2 linked regions of the Pelodiscus sinensis genome follow. The protein of the gene in region 1 interacts with the protein of each later gene in a biochemical or structural test. Links are inferred from orthologs where the notes say so. Each region holds a gene or a part of one and is shown on either strand. Other genes may lie near its edges.

The links. The genes of interacting proteins can lie anywhere in the genome.
Region 2: the proteins of ATF3 (region 1) and JUND form a complex in vitro, tested with the Homo sapiens proteins (2 studies listed by BioGRID and IntAct, with this or other methods). The link is inferred for Pelodiscus sinensis from reciprocal best matches to the Homo sapiens genes ATF3 and JUND.

Annotation. Positions count from the first base shown.
Region 1 is NC_134713.1:147,437,668-147,445,386, reverse strand, and holds the start of ATF3 (cyclic AMP-dependent transcription factor ATF-3), read right to left. Parts: upstream 3,018-7,719; 5' UTR 2,725-3,017; intron 2,712-2,724; exon of another isoform or gene 1,663-2,711; intron 1-1,662.
Region 2 is NC_134729.1:20,092,845-20,100,825, reverse strand, and holds the start of JUND (transcription factor JunD), read right to left. Parts: upstream 3,001-7,981; 5' UTR 2,699-3,000; coding exon 1,742-2,698; 3' UTR 1-1,741. UniProt on the Homo sapiens protein: Transcription factor binding AP-1 sites.

The sequences.
Region 1 (7,719 bases):
AGTTTTAATGGAAAATATCATGAGAAATATTGTCCATGCTGGATTTTCATTAGTAATTGGAGGAGTTATTTTCAAATATCCACTAGCAACAAAATTTTGCTAGAATCCCTTTTATAACTTTATTTGCTTTTACTGATGTCTCCATGATTTAAGAGTAATGGGAGACTGTTTTCTACAGTCACCCTTGACTTCAGAACTTGCACTTCCCCTTGGCCTGAAATTGCCCAAGTCTCCTGACCTTCCAACATCCTGAAAGACACTGCTATTCATGAAGGGGCTGAAGATTGTGGGCAGGTAGGTTTGTGGGAATATTGTTTTGGGTTAGTTTTTCTTTGGTGGATTTTGCTGCTACTTTCAACTTTTTTGGTTTTGGTGACCTGTTTTGTAAGCTCTTTTGGGACAGAGACTGTCTTTTTGTCTTGTTTGTATAGTGCCTAGCCCAGTAGGGTTCTGCTCCATGGGGTTCCAGACACTATGAGAATACAAATAATGATAAATCAGAACCATATCAGAAGTACAGAGACTGTGGTCAGGGCCTACTTCAGGTGGAGGCTGCTTCAGCTGGATGGAGCATCCACCGCCCACAGCATGGCGGGCCAGGCTGAGCTGCAGCCTGCCTGAGGCTGGGGGCTAGTCCAGCTGGGCCTACCGCACTGCACCACAGGTGGGCGAGAAGTTGCTCCAGCCCAGCCACTAGTTAATCACTGACATCACTTCTGGGTAGACTACATCAGAAGTACAGAATGCTAGATGTATACTTGGTAAATAGATATAAAATTGTAATGTTGATATCATCCTCTGGTTAGAAACATTTTTTATTCAAGATAGAACAAGCAAAAGTTAAACATTTTGTTTTGCATCCTTTTTTCCCCAGTCATTTTCCTATAAATTATCTAAGGCTATAAGTTATTTGGGTCAAGGACCTGGTTCACTTTGTAAAGCACTAACACAATTGGACTTGCTCTATAATTAACCCAAGAAAAAAAATGACATCTAGGCCTTTCTGTTTAACTACAAGTCCATACAACTACATAGATCCCACTTGGTAAGGTGCTGAACATCTTTATCTTTCACTGAAGTGGAAGATGGAGGTGCTGAACACCCCACAGAATAGGACCACAGAGGCTCAATTCATCCCTGGAGCAAGTGCTCACTCCTCCATCAGAATCTTATGATCAAGACAAAATAATAAGTTTTACAAATAAGATCCCATTAGACAGTTTTGTTTCTATAACAGACAGGATACATTGCTAGTTATTCAGAGATAATTTTCAAAACTAATGCTTCCTTCCATTTATAGTTATTTTATTAATAATTTCCCCACTGCTTTTAGTTTTCCCCTCTCCCATTCTGAGAAGTTGTGTCAGGACACATTCTTGGAAGTCCAAACTAGCATTTATGTTATTTAAAGTGTGCTCAAGTTTAATGCTAATATTAATAATTAACACTTCAGGGCACCCTCACTCCTAGCTTCCATTTGGTTTAACTGCAGATGACTTAGCTGTATTTCCCTAGATAAATTCATTTTCCTCGGCTGCTGACGTAATAAACGATGAGAGCCAAACAGGTTAATCTGACAGGGCATTAAAGGGCAATTACCGTTCACAACCTCTGTGTACTCAAATTGGCCTTTAGGATTCTGACATTCCAGATCATAACTACCTCTTTTTCAGGCTTCGAACGTCTCTGCTGTTGTTACTACCAAGAAAATCGATTTCACACAGGAAACTGGTTCTGTGTGTAACAGTTTTCTGTTGCGTCGTCACTCAATCCTAGTTAGGCAACAGTTCAGCAACTGATCTTGTTCGGGTTAGTCGTCAGTGGAGAAAAAACGACGATTATTGTCTAATAGTGACTTTCTCGCTAATTCTTCATCCCCTCGCAGGATGACATGACTTCTTGTCTGTGTGTACTCTAATCAAAAGAGGTCACTGTTCCCCCAAAATAACAAAGGAAAAGAGCTTCATTTGGGAGTTATGTGTATCCTTCATCTCAACCGACACAGTCATCGCCGTTACCTCATTACAGAAGTCAGAGGGTGCCTTGAGCTTCGTCACTAACTTTTTTCTCTACATTACTTTGGCAAAACTTTGGCAGCAGCTCAGGAGCGATGGGCGTCCCGCCGACAAGCAGAGCCGCGCTCTTACTGTCGAGCGATGCGCCCCCCCCCCCTCCTCCCCGTGGCCTCCGGCGCTACCCCGGCCCAAGAGAAACGAATGAAGCAGCCAAGAGAGCAACTGCGGGCGCTCACATCGGCAAACTCGCCGCCCGGAAGAAGGGGGTGGCCAGATGCGACATCTGCCCCGCTCCACAAGTGCCGCTCCGGGCTCGACTGATAAAGCCCAAGGCTCCGGCCGGTGACGCGCAAGGGGGGCTCGGACTCCTGTGAGAACTTGTTCGGTGTCACAGGGGGCTCCCGAGCCGTGCCCGGGGGCAGGGCGCGTGCCAGGCTCCCAAGCGGCAGAAGGGGGGGGGGGTCTCTTTGGTGCGCGTGGCTCCAGGACTCAGAAACGCCGCTCTGCCCAGCGAGCTTTTGCTTTCACTTGTGGCTCTGCGGACGATCCGATCGCAAAGCCGCCAGCCCGCCCGACTGGCCCGGGCAGACCCTGTCCCCTGGCTGGGATCAGTCGCTTAGCAAAGTGCCGACGCTCCCGGGAGAACCAGCTGACTGAGTCGCGGTCTCCTCGCCGCCGCCCGCCCGCCTCCCTTCCCCAGCTCACTGACCTTTCCCCGCCGCTTCTCACGGCGCCTCTCCGCTGCCGGGACAAGCACAGAGGGGCCGAGCGCAGCGAGGAGCGAGCCCGCGCTGAAAGCAGGGGCTGCCCGCGTCTCTCGGGCTGGGGGCGCCGCTGCCGGGCAGTTCCGAGTTCGCCGATAGGAGAGCAGAGCCTCCTTCCCCGGACGCGCCTGAATCTGCCTGTGCGAGGGGTTGCATCACCCTCCTTATATAGGCGAGTGGGCAGCGCTGGTATTTACTCTGGCGGCGAGCGCCTGGCTGATGTCATGCTATTAATAGCCGGGCCGGAGGAGGCGGGGGAGCAGCGCGCACCGGGCGGTGATGCAAGACGCTCCCGGTCCCGGCCGGGAGGAGGAGCCAGGGAGCTGGCTGGAACGCACACGCCCCATAAGAGGACTGCTGCCGCCTGGGCGCGCCGCCAGATGTTAACTCCGGCAGCTGCGTGTCACCCTGCGGAGCCAATGGAGACCAAGCTACCTGCGTGACTGCGAATCGCTGGCAGCCTGCGGCGCCGGGATGGCAATGACAGACAGGCGGAATTAGGGGTAGAACTGGTCCGTTGAAGGGCTCCTTTGGGAAAGGCTTGGATTCTGTAGCCATTTAACGGCTGGAAAATCCCCCATCCGATCTCTCCGTGTGTAGGGGGGGAACGTGCAATTGTGCATCAGGCATTTGTGCGGCCCTTTAGCCTCCCTGCTACCGCGCCGCTGTGTGTGTGAACAGGGTGTGTACGAGCGCCAGCCTTGCTGGGCTGCCCCTGTGCAAGGGGAGCAGCGTGGGGCTCGCGCGTTGACACTGCCACAATCCGCGCCGGTGCCTCTCGCGCCTTCTTGGAAGTTTTCGTCCCCACTGGAGATTTAGCTGAGGTGTGCGAGGAGAGAAGGGCCGTAGCCCTCGGAGGGGAGGGCATTTCACTGAGAGACTCGAGGTCCTTTTGGAAAGGGCAGAAAGCCCAGGTAGCTTCCCCTCCAAAAACTGTCCGATCATGATTTCTAGAGAAGATTCACTTCTCCATTCCCTTCCCCCGTGCGGCGGGAACGTGCTTCCTCGGGCGCTTCGGCACGGGGCGTGTGTTATTCCGCATCTTCCCAGGCTTTCTTAGGAATCGGGGGTGTGGGCGAGAGGGGCTTTTTATTCAGAAAAGCAAAACCCTCTTTGCGCTAGTTTTTGAAGCTTGCAAAAGAATTGAAAATATGAGCTTCGTCACAGCGATGTGCTTCCCCGATTGCAGAGCCCCTAAATGGTCAGTGCACAAACTGAGTGGGCTGACGTTAATTTTTAGCCGGAAAGATTAAAGACCCCCTTTCCTGATACATCAGGGAGTTAAAAAAATAGCCTTTTTAAAACATAGCAACTAACATCCTTCTGGCTTCAGGGAGGAGAAAGACTGAAGCCTTACGGGGAGGAGAAGGTTTTCCTTTTTTCAGTTCACATCCTACTTTATTTTCTAACAGCCACGAAACAAAGTTAAGATATAATTTAATGCACTTCAGTATTCACGAAGACACGCACACATATACACAACATTATACTTACATATACATACAAAAATAGCATGAACACAACTTTAACTTGTAAACTCAGGCATTCAAGCCATGTTAATTCAGCCACTTTGTGTACTGAGTGTGTATGCATATTATGATATACATCAGTAAATACATACAATGTATTAACACGCAAGAGTACTACTTTAAGGTCTGCATTTAATAAGGGGCTATCTATGTGCATTGGGGATAATCTAACATTGATAACTTTAAAATTGTAAATGTCATGACTTTTGCATGGCTTCATTTCACAAATTTAAACACTTCATTAACAATGGCATTTTGCATTTAATTTCCTACTTTTTAAGGAGAATGGGGTGGGGTTAGACAGAGAAAATCTGGCTTGCATACTTTAGATCATCTTTGCAGTGTGTAGGTACATTTGTTCCTTGTAACACCCTGACCTGGTATAATTGGATTTATAGATTCTAATGCCAAATTCTTTATTCCAGTTATTTGTTCAGTTTTAGATCCCTTGCAAGTTCTAAAACATCAGTTGCTGCACACAACCTAACTGTGCACTCATATAGTTGTCACCCCTCTTTAAGTACACATCTGCAGGAACTGTAAATATCTCAGCCAGTTTACACCCTTCACAAGGTTTTATTTTTGTAAATCCAATTTTATTTTTGCAATTATTTTACTAACAACAACAACAAAAATTACTCTTTCTTGGGGACTGGGGACTTGTCTATGACTAGTTTCAAGCTTCAAACTTCAGCTGTTTTCTAAAGTAGCCTTGTAGTTAAATTGTTTATACAGCAAAGGGGTATTTTTTTCACTCATGCCACATCCAAAAATAGCTGGAAGGACTTTGCTCAGTCTCACAAAAAGACAGAAGGTAAACATGGAGAATTTCATCCCAAAATGTAAATGTTGTGGAAAGTTCTGGAAACATGGAGTTATTATGGGAAGCTATTTTGCTACATTACCTTGAGTGTAATACAGAAACTTCAGCAACTACCCAGAATTGTTTACCTACTTGTATTATCGATGGAATTTTATTTTGAACATTTTTAATTAAATTGAACAAAGTCACACAAATGAGGCAATTTGGAAGATTAAATACATTACTTCATCTTTCAGATTGGTGAGAAACACCTAACAAAGATAAATATTGTTAACCTGTTTTAAGTGTCACTAAAAATGGTCATGATCAGTGTTTCACAGGTATAATATAATACTAAGCAGACCGATACTTTTGCTTCATGCAGCTTCATTACTTCTACTATCATCATTGGCAAGGAAATATGTTTAATATGAAAAATGCTGTTGACCATAAAATAGGTATGTTATGTATTAAATTATTGATATGAGAGAGCTCCTCCCCTTAGAATAAACATAGAGGGAGAAAATATGCATGTTTTAAAGTTAGTGTTCTGTACACTATCATGGCATGAAATTCCTCAGTCAGAAGAAAATGAAACTATAATAAAAATGAAACCAAAGTTTTGCACTTTGTTTCATTAACATACAGGGCCCCACCCTGTTCCTATTTACTTCAATGTCAAATTCTCCTTGACCTCAGACAGCAAAGATGTAGGGTTTGTTCTGGTTTCAACTTAATATGAACTGATATATCCATCAAGAATGTGAGGATGTTAAAGCAAACAATAGATCCACAAGATGCTTAAATACTTTTGGTAGTTTTGCTTTTCAACTGTTCACAAATATTTTCCACCTTCCTTTATCTGAATATTCCCTGATCCTCTTAGGTTTCCTTTCTCTAGTGTTACCAGAAAACGCAGGGATCAATCTGACTGAAACAGTAATAGTTTCAGTGAGCTGAAGTCAGTTTTAATTATTATTGCTGGCTGTATCTAGACTGGCAAGTTTTTCCACAAAAGCAGCTGCTTTTGCAGAAAAAACTTGCCAGATGTCTACACTGGCCACTTGAATTTCCACAAGAACACTGACTTCCTACTGTCTGAAATCAGTGCTTCTTGCGGAAATACTATGCTGCTCCCGTTCGGGCAAAAGTCCTTTTGCGCAAAGCTTTTGTGCAAAAGGGCCAGTGTAGACAGCTCAGATTTGTTTTGCGCAAAAGCGCGTCTAGATTGGCACGGACGCTTTTCCGCAAAAAGTGCTTTTGCAGAAAAGTGTCCGGGCCAACCTAGACACTCTTTTCCGCAAATGCTTTTAACGGAAAACTTTTCTGTTAAAAGCATTTGCGGAAAATCATGCCAGTCTAGATGTAGCCGCTAAGTCTTGATCTAGGTACAGTATATGATCACCAAAGCATTTATAGCATTACTCACTGGGTATTTCTACAAAGAGCAATTACACTAACTCATAACCTGCTGCTCTGTTATTGTGGACTCTCAGAAAATCTCCATCCTGAATTGGCACAGGGAAAAGGATTCTTTCATTCACCATCTTCTGGCCCAAATCCTGCTTCTCCCACCTCCACACTTCATTTTCAGTGTCCATATCAGTAAAACATAAATATGGCCACCAGTAACATAGCTAAGCAATAAGGCTCAAATCCTCTTAGCAAAAGCTTTCTGCATTCCCTCTTCTATTAAACGTATGGAGCTGTAGGATATCTGCCAGAGAAAAGATATATAATCTGGGACCCAATTCTGATCTCTCATTTGTTGTTTCTGGTGGAGAAGCTTCATTAAGCAGTGGTATTACCTATGATTTCCTCTGGTATCACAGGCCTCATGAAATATAAATATATAAAATTTACTTTCCTAAATATCAGTCCTGCTTAATGACTTCTTAGATGAAATCTGATTTCCTGAGTCTTTTGTGGCTTTGCTACTGTTAAGTTTTGATATTACTATAAACATAAAAGACCTAATTTTCCTCTCCCTTCCACATGCAACTGAAGAACAACTCTGTTGAACTCAGCGGGGCTACAGCAATGTAAAGCCATCACAGAACTGGGCTCTTTAGAAGAGCTATTCTAGAGTATGCTAGGCTGTCATTTTGCTATGATTTCCCCTATATAGTGTATTTCTGTTCCAATACTGTACAGGCAGTCCCCGACTTACATCGGATCCGCACTTACGAACAGGGCTTCTCTCGCCCCGGATCTCACGGGCGGCGGATCGCCACCCGTGTCCTCTGGGGCAAGAAAAGCTTCTCCCGGTCTCCCTGGTCTGCTGGGGGAGGGGGGGTCCAGCAAAGCCACTGGACCCCCCCCCCCCCAGCAGACCAGGGACACCAGAGCAAAGCCGCCCAGGCAGCGGGACTCCCCCCGCCTGGGTGGCTTTGCTCCTGTCCCCCTGGTCTGCTGGGGGGGGCAGCAGAGCCCCTGGACCCCCCAGCAGACCAGGGACACCCGAGCAAAGCCGCCCAGGCGGGGGGGAGGGAGGGAGACGGGGAGCAAAGCCTTGGAGCACGCTCACAGCGGGCGTGCTCCAAGGCTTTGCTCCCGTCCCCCTGGTCTGCTGGGTGGGGGGGTGCAGCTAGTGCCCCCCCCCCCGCAGA
Region 2 (7,981 bases), on another chromosome or scaffold:
CTCCCTTGGCAAAGGTTCGTGTTTATTCCCCCCACCCAGGGCATGTACAGAGCTGGAATCTCCACCTGGCTGGTTGTTTACTACTATGATTATGCACCAGTATCAGTGAGGTCAGCTGACTGAGCCTCGCATTGCACAACCAAGTACCATAGACAGCTGTACACACCCTAGTTCAGTCCTACTGGAAGAGGCTAGGGTTTAAAAGGCTCTCAGGTAGCTGTGGGAAGGCAGCTGGCTCTCACCTGGAGCTTTACCATTCAAGTACTTCACCTTCCCCCCCACCACTCCAAAAACTAACTTGAACACAACCAAGTTAACCCTGGAATTCCTGCTTTCAAAATAACCCCCTAGTACTTCCCTGCATGGAAGGTCACACACAAGGCTGACATGCAGACACACACAAGGGGACAAAGTTTGGTGCAACTCAGTCTTGTCAAATTAGAGCCTAGCTCTTCTGCAACTCATCTAATGAGCTGTTGTGGTCCTGATTTTGCAAGGATAGTCCTGTCTAGAAGCCACCAATCCCGCTGTGGGCACTGCCAAAAACTAATACTCAGTGTGAAAGTAGCATCTCACCCACTCTTTCAGACAGTTTCACTCTTTGAAAAGGCATCTTCCTTTAAGCACTGGGACCAGTTTTCTGCAAGTGTTAGTAGGGCAGCTGCCAGCCAGGAAAGGTCATTCTGGCTGTTTCCTGTAAGCACTGAATACTCCAGGCAACCCCTGCCTTTTACGGCTGAAATTCCTTTTCTGAGAAGAAAGGGAAGAGCAATCGATTCCAGTTAGCTAGACGACTGCCATTTGCCTAGTCACAGGGTTTCTAAGAAATGAAGCAGCTCTGCACAACTGCCATTTTCTGTTTCAACCAAGTTCCTTCTTTCTAGCCCCGTTGCGCACGTCAGGCCCAAATGACCCCGACTGTTCGTTTTTTTTTTGTCCCGCCAAGGGACTCTATTGCCATTATAGGAATTTAGACTCCAGGAACCACGGCCACAACCCACCAAGGGAAAAGAGCCTGAAACAAACCAGTGGACTTTAAAACGGACTGGGCACACCCTGGCAAGAAGTTGAACACTGTCGAGTACCGCCATCACTAGCTGCTGTTGGAACATCCCACCACATCCCCTCCCGAAAGGCGTCACTTGGGGTAGGTTCTCCAGAACAGGCTTAACACTCCCCCCCCGCCCCCCCAACCAATGGGACCAATCTGAGGTGCAGTTTCCACAACAGGCAAGAGGGGGCACACTTACCCACGCTTTGCACCCCCCACCCCCAGCAAGTACAGCTTCCCCTCCCTTGAGGTCAGCCTCCCTCCCTGGGGAAGCAAGAACCCAAGCCCAGCAGGCGAGACACAGCAGACAGCTCCTGGCACGAGACTTTACTGCACACTGGAATGTGGCCTCGAACAAGGGGGGGTGGGGAGGGACATTGGGCCCAGTATAAACATAAATAGAGCAAAGAAAAAACACGTCAAACAAACACTCGAGCTCCCAGCCGGGCGCCGCCCCCGCCCAGGCAGCGCTGCAGTCTCTGGGCTCCGTGCGCTCGGAGCGCCCAGCATGTCCAAAGCCCCGGCTAGTTCGAGAGTCCGCGCCGGGGGCGGGCGAGTCCTGCCGCAGGAGGGCGGCTCCGCGCCCCGCCGCGAAGCCGAGGCGCTTCCAGAGTCCTGCCCGGCTCCCGCAGCCAAAGGAAGAGCCTGGGGGGCGCACGGCGGCCACGTCCCCGGCTCCCCTCGGGGTGCTCAATAGGCCGGCACCTGGTGCTGGGGCTGCGGCAGCAGCTGGCAGCCGCTGTTGACGTGGCTCAGCACCTTCTGCTTGAGCTGCGCCACCTGCTCGCGCAGCAGGCTGGCGGTGGAGGCCAGCTCGGTGTTCTGGCTCTTGAGGCTCTTGACCTTCTCCTCCAGCCGCGAGATGCGCTCCAGCTTCCTCTTGCGGCACTTGGAGGCGGCGATGCGGTTGCGCAGCCGCTTGCGCTCCGCCTTGATGCGCTCCTGCGTGTCCATGTCGATGGGCGAGAGCGGGGGGCTGTCGCCGAAGCTGGGCGCCTCGGGCACCGTCTGCGGCTCGTCCTTGAGCGGCGGCTGGAGGCGGGGGTGCTGCGGGGCGCCCCCCAGCCCGGGCGGCGGCGGGTAGGGCACGGTCTCGGCGGCGTAGCTGGCGGCCGGGCCCGGGTAGCTGCTCAGGTTGGCGTAGACCGGCGGCTCCGGGGGCGGCGGCGGCGGCTGGGCCAGGCTGGCGGCGGGGGGCAGGTCCCCGGGAGCCCCGCCGCCCGCCCCCAGCTGGTTCTGCTTGTGCAAGTCCTCCAGCGCCTTGACGAAGCCCTCGGCGAACTCCTGCTCCTCGCTGGCCGCCACCTTGGGGTAGAGGAACTGGCTGCTGGTCGGCGTGGTGGTGACCAGCCCGTTCTGGATGATGAGCCGCTCCAGCTCCGGCGAGCCCAGCTTCAGCAGCCCGAGGTCGGCCGAGCCCAGCAGGGCCGGGCCCTCGCCGCCCGCGCCCCGCAGCGGATGGTGCGCCTGGCCGGGCGCCTTCAGGGTGGCCACCACCTGGTCGCTGAGCGCCAAGCCGAGCCCGTCCTTCTTCATCATGCTGCCGCCGGGGAAGGGGAAGGGGAGGCCGCTGCTGCTGCCGCGGGACGGGGCCGAGCCGCTGCCGAAGCCGCTCAACACATCATCATGGTAGAAGGGTATTTCCATCCTCCCCCGCCGGCTGCGGGGGGCGCCGGGCTGCTGCGCCCAAGGGGCGCCGGGCCGCGCTGCGGGCACCGGTCCCGGTCCGGCTGGAGCAGCCCCGGGGGGCGTTGCAGGGCCCGGCTGCCGGGGTGGGGGGCGGTCCCGGTCCAGCTGCCCCGGGGATGCTGCGGGGCCCGGCTGCCCCGGCCGCTGGGGGAGGGTCGGTCCCGGTGCGGCTGCAGCGGCCCCGGGGAGCTGGCGGTGCAGGCTGGACGCGCCCCGCGCTCTTCTCTCTCGCACACACGCGTCGGGGGCCGCCCCGCGCTGCCTTAAATACCCAGCGCCTGCCCGATGAGGTCACCGCGCGCGGCGGGGATTGGCCGTAGATGACGTTCTCGCCGGGGCGTATTTGCATGGGGCGGGGCCTGGCCGCCCCGCCCCCTCCTGGCGCCCCCGTCCCCATGGCGACCGGCTTGTAAACTGCACAACAGCGCGCGGCCTGCTGGGTTGATGTCATAGAGGGCGGGGTGTTTGCACAGCGGGCCCTGCCTGGGATATTTATAGGCGCGCGGGGAGCTGCCGAGCCTGGAGCTCAGCCCGGCTCAGGCTGCCCCCCAGGACCCATGGGATCCAGTGCCCTGCTGCAGCTGGGAGCGGGGCAAGCCCGTGAGGCTCCGCTGCTGCAACCCAGGCTCTGCAAACCCGGGGCACCGGATCAGCTGCTGGCCCCAGCTCCCTGCCAAACCGTGCAATGCCCCTTTGGCTTCTGCATGGGTTGGGACTGAGCCTCATGCCCCCTTTGGGCAGCCAGCATCCCAGCTGGCTCCCACTTGCAAGCAGGAAGCAGGTGCCAGACGCTCCAGGCCAACCCTCACCTTGCAGGGGATGTTTTGACTCCATTTACACTCTCCATGGCAACTCCTTGTAGTTTCGTGGCACCCACGGCAGGGTTGACAGGCTGGAAAGCTGTGGGGTGGTGAAGGGCAGGTATGGGTGCCTTCCAGGCTGGTGCAGGGGAAGGAGGCTCTAGGGAGGTGTAATGAGTTGGATGCAAAAAGGGGATGGGATTTGTAAAGGTAAAAATCCAAAGCAGAAAGGAAGAGCGGAGAGTTCAGCTGTCACTCAAGAACAGAACAATGAAAGCTCCATATAATAGAACCCTGGAAAACATCCATTGGTGTAGCAGCCAGGCAGGGTCAGCCGGCATCGCAGCAAAACAAACCTTTCCCTCGCTAAGGCCTTCAAGTATACAAGCAGCATAAACCACCTCAGCTGCACAGCAACCTGCCAGCTCCCTCTCTGGGTTTGTCAGCTGCTTTAGACCATTTCTTCATTGGGCCTTCAATTCCCTGCCCTGCCTCCCGACTTCACTGAAACACCTGTGGGGGAGCCAACCAACACAATTAACTCCTTCCCTAGGTCTTTGCAATTTGCCATAAGAATAGAAAAACATGAGACAGTGGCGATGTTCCCTCTTAAGTTTTCCATCCACAAGCGGAATAAATTGTGTTATGTGCACCAAAGCACATGCAGATGTGCACCACCAATAGAAACATGCTGCTGGCTGTGGTCAGCTAAGGGCACTCTGCCAATCAGCTGGGTGGCACCTGAATCTCTCCTGGGCAGCCACCCAAGCACTCAGCTTACAGGGAGCACTGGCTGGTGGTGATTCCCCTACTCAGTATCTGGTAGGGCTGAAGGAAGATTTCCTCCTTTATCATGACTTGTGACTAAGCCAGGAAGAGATTGGTTCATGGGTGCTGCTGGGGGAGGTCACAAGCCGAGGACCCCGGAAAAGCCACTGAACTCCTTTCAGTTGAACAAGTTTGTGTTTGTTGCCCTGACTCGGGGCGATGGAGGGAGCCAAATCCCTCTGCAGCCCAGATACCGACAGGGATTGCTGTAGAGCGGGGGTTCCCAGATGCCACTGCACTGCCACCTCTTACTGACAACAAAAATGAATGTGACCCCAGGAGGGGGGACCGAAATGTAGCCTGCCTGAGCCCTGCCATCTTGGTGTCTTGCGCTAAAGTTCTCAGGCTTTGGCTTTCGTTCAAGGCACAGCACCCCCAAGCCAGCCCTGGCAGCCCCACTAAAATGGGTTTCTGTGACCCACTTAGGGGGCCTGTGCCTGACCCACACTGTGAGAACCGCTGCGGTAGAGGCAGCATGCTCAGCCCCCAAGGAGCAGCCCCGCTTCTGCCTTCACCTGCCTTTGCTTGACTGGAGAAAGCTGCCCCAATGCAAGGCCTTTTGGGATATGCAGGGGCAGGGGGTATGTTCCTGGAGAGCTGGGTACCCACAAAGAGTTAATGTAGCACCCAGGGCACTTTGGCAATGAACTGGAAACAACTCCGACAGTGGCCGAATCCTTCTTTTACAAGGTTCTGTGTTCCAGAGTTCTGCATGTACCTGTTCTATGCTTTTCTCTGCATTGGAAACACTCAACCCAGTGCCCACCAATGGGCTCTCCCCCCCCAGCGACCTGCACCACGCCTCTGAAATGCACCAAGCCCAAAGCGGAGGGACTGGCCTTGTGCTGTTTGCACCCGGGCTGGAGTGCACGCTGAGGCAGCCAAGGGTTAATCTCCTAGGGCTCCATTAAAAATGCAGTGTAACTCGTTGGGGAATGAAAGACAGAAGCGGCAGTCAGACAGGTAGGGGCGGAGGGAGCGGCGCTTCTCCCGAAGGTGTCCGGGAGGCCTGGCCTCTTTGCCAAGCATGTCGAAGCGTGAGTGGCAGTGCTGCGTTCAGACAAACCCTCGCCAGCCGCTACACGCTTATTCCTGCCCAAACTGGTGATGTTTGGGCTCTAACCGACCCGGCCTAGCAACCCATGCAGAGAGGGTGGCTGGCTTCCAGCAGGGAGAACGCCGCGGCACACAGACCTTCGCCAGCATTTTCGTTGTGTATTTATTGGCAATAAAGGATTGCACACCGCCCTTCCCCCCACCAGCCTGGGATCTGGCACAAACACATGGGCTGGAGCCCACGAGACGCAGAGTCCCAGAGCTTCAGGCAAGCAAGGACTCGATGGTCTCATCTGAACTCCTGGATAGCACAGATCACTAGCCCCAGCCTGCACACACGCTGACCCCACCAGCTGATCCCACACGGCAGGAGGCAGGGCTGTGGGTCCCAGCCAGAGGCACTGAGATACAGCCAGAGAATCCAGGCAAGACACCTGCACCTGCCTAGGAAGGCAAAACCCTTCCAAGTTCCCTGCCGTGCTGACCTGGGGGAAATTCCTGCCTCAGCTCACGCAGGGTGACCAGCTAGACCCCGAGGACGCGAGCAAGAACCAAGAAACTGCTCAGAGCCACCCCAGAACCCCGGCTGAGGATTGTTCTGGTTGAAGAGCACTCGGAAGACACCCGGTGCTCAAGGACTTTGCCTCTCTTGCCGGAGCTGTGAACGCCGCCGCACCGGTCTCGGCTCGTCAGTGGGGCCCCCTTCCAGGTCTGTCTCCCAAAGGAGGTTTATGGCCTTATGTGGGTTGGGCTCTGACTACTGCCTCCATGGCCCCGAGCCAAGGTCAGCCCAGGCGCTCCTACTCAGACCCTAGATGTGAACATCTGGCAGCTGCTGGCAGAGGCCCCTTGACTCTGCCTCTTGCTTCCCTCCCCCCTGGCCCCCAGCCCGCGTGTGCTAAATTTGGGGCGTGGCACCAGGCCTTTGCCTGAGTCTGGCCATGTGGCCAGGCCGTCCTGGCTCCTGGCTCAGGTTACCGGCTGAAGGAAGCAGCCCCTGAGTTTCTAAATCCTCTAGCTAGAAAGTCCAGGAATGGCTTTTTCACAGCCGGTAGTGGGGAGGTGCGAGGTGATGAGCTGTAGTTTTTGGGGGATGCCCCTAGTGCCTTAGGCGATGGGTGCACGTCTTTCAGCCGTCAAAGGCAGACGAGCTAACGGGAAACGCCGCTGTCTATGGCCATGCGAATGCGCCGGGACGGCCACTAGCGGGGGGCTAGCGGGGCTCAGAGTAGTGCACCATGAATAGCCGTGGGGACGCTGCAGCGTGAGTTCTCCAGCCCCTACGTCTGCCACTCGAGTTGAGCCCAGGCAGATGCCTAACCTACAATGGCCACACGCAGCTAGCAGGCCAAGTGAGCATCAGTCTGCCGGTCTGCATCAGTGTGGGCTCCCCACTGCTGGGGGGGGAGCCCTGAGCCTGGGGGGCTGGATCCAGACAAGTCAGAGGAAGCATCCAGCCCCCAGGCTTTAAGTTCCCCTCCCCTGGCCTAAAGCATAGGGCTTTTATCTGCAGCTGGACTGAAACGGCCATTAATCGTAAAGCAGGGAGTTCCATACTCATGTTCCATCTACATTGCATTAAAACAGGGTCATATCAGGCTGCTAAGAAGGAGCGCCCATCATAATGGTGCCCAGTATGGCCAGGTAAAGAAACAGATCTCAAGATGGGTAAATAAAATGTAATTTAACACCGTTCAGTCTGGCAAGAAACTCCGTATCAATAATTGTGGCTGTCGAATCCTCAGGCTATGATTGTGGTTCTCACTGTCCGACTGTTTGCCTGGATGAACTCTGTCTGGTTTGTGATTATTTTCGTCTGCTGCATAGATAATTTTGCTAGGTGTAAATCGATGAAGGTGATGGGGTAGCAATGGTAGGTAATTCTGTTACTGTATGGGGCAACAGGTGGGTAAAATTGTAGTACAAATAATCGGTTACGGTATTGCTAAGCAGGACTCCAATTTCACTATATAAACTGGGGTCCAAGAAGGAAAGGGAAGAAAGAAACAGAAAGAAGGAAGGAACTGGAGGAAGAACTCACCTCCAAGAACCTAAAAGGTGTTAACAAGGAGGAGGGATAAAAATTGTTCTCCGTGGCATCCGAGGACAGGACAAGAAGCAATGGGCTTAAACTGCAGCAAGGGCGGTTCAGGTCGGACATCAGGAAAAACTTCCTGCCTGTCAGGGTGGTTAAACACTGGAATAAATTGCCTGGGGAGGTTGTGGAAACTCCATCACTGGAGACATTTAAGAGCAGGTTGGACAGACGCCTGTCAGGGCTGATGTGGTGCTGCCGTGAGGGCAGGGGACTGGACTCGATGGCCTCTTGAGGTCCCTTCCGGTTCTGTGATTCTGTGATTCTAAGTCACAGCCTACGACCAGAGCTGCCAGGACTCCTCTGCATGACCAGGATCCAGAGAGACTGACCTAGCCTGGCCAAAAGGGGACGTTTCCGTGTCTTTCTCAGGATGGGTGCGCATGCCACTGTGTGCTTAGCACGTGTATTCTGCTTGCTTGGGAATTGCTACTAAATAACGCGTAAGGATATTACTGTGTG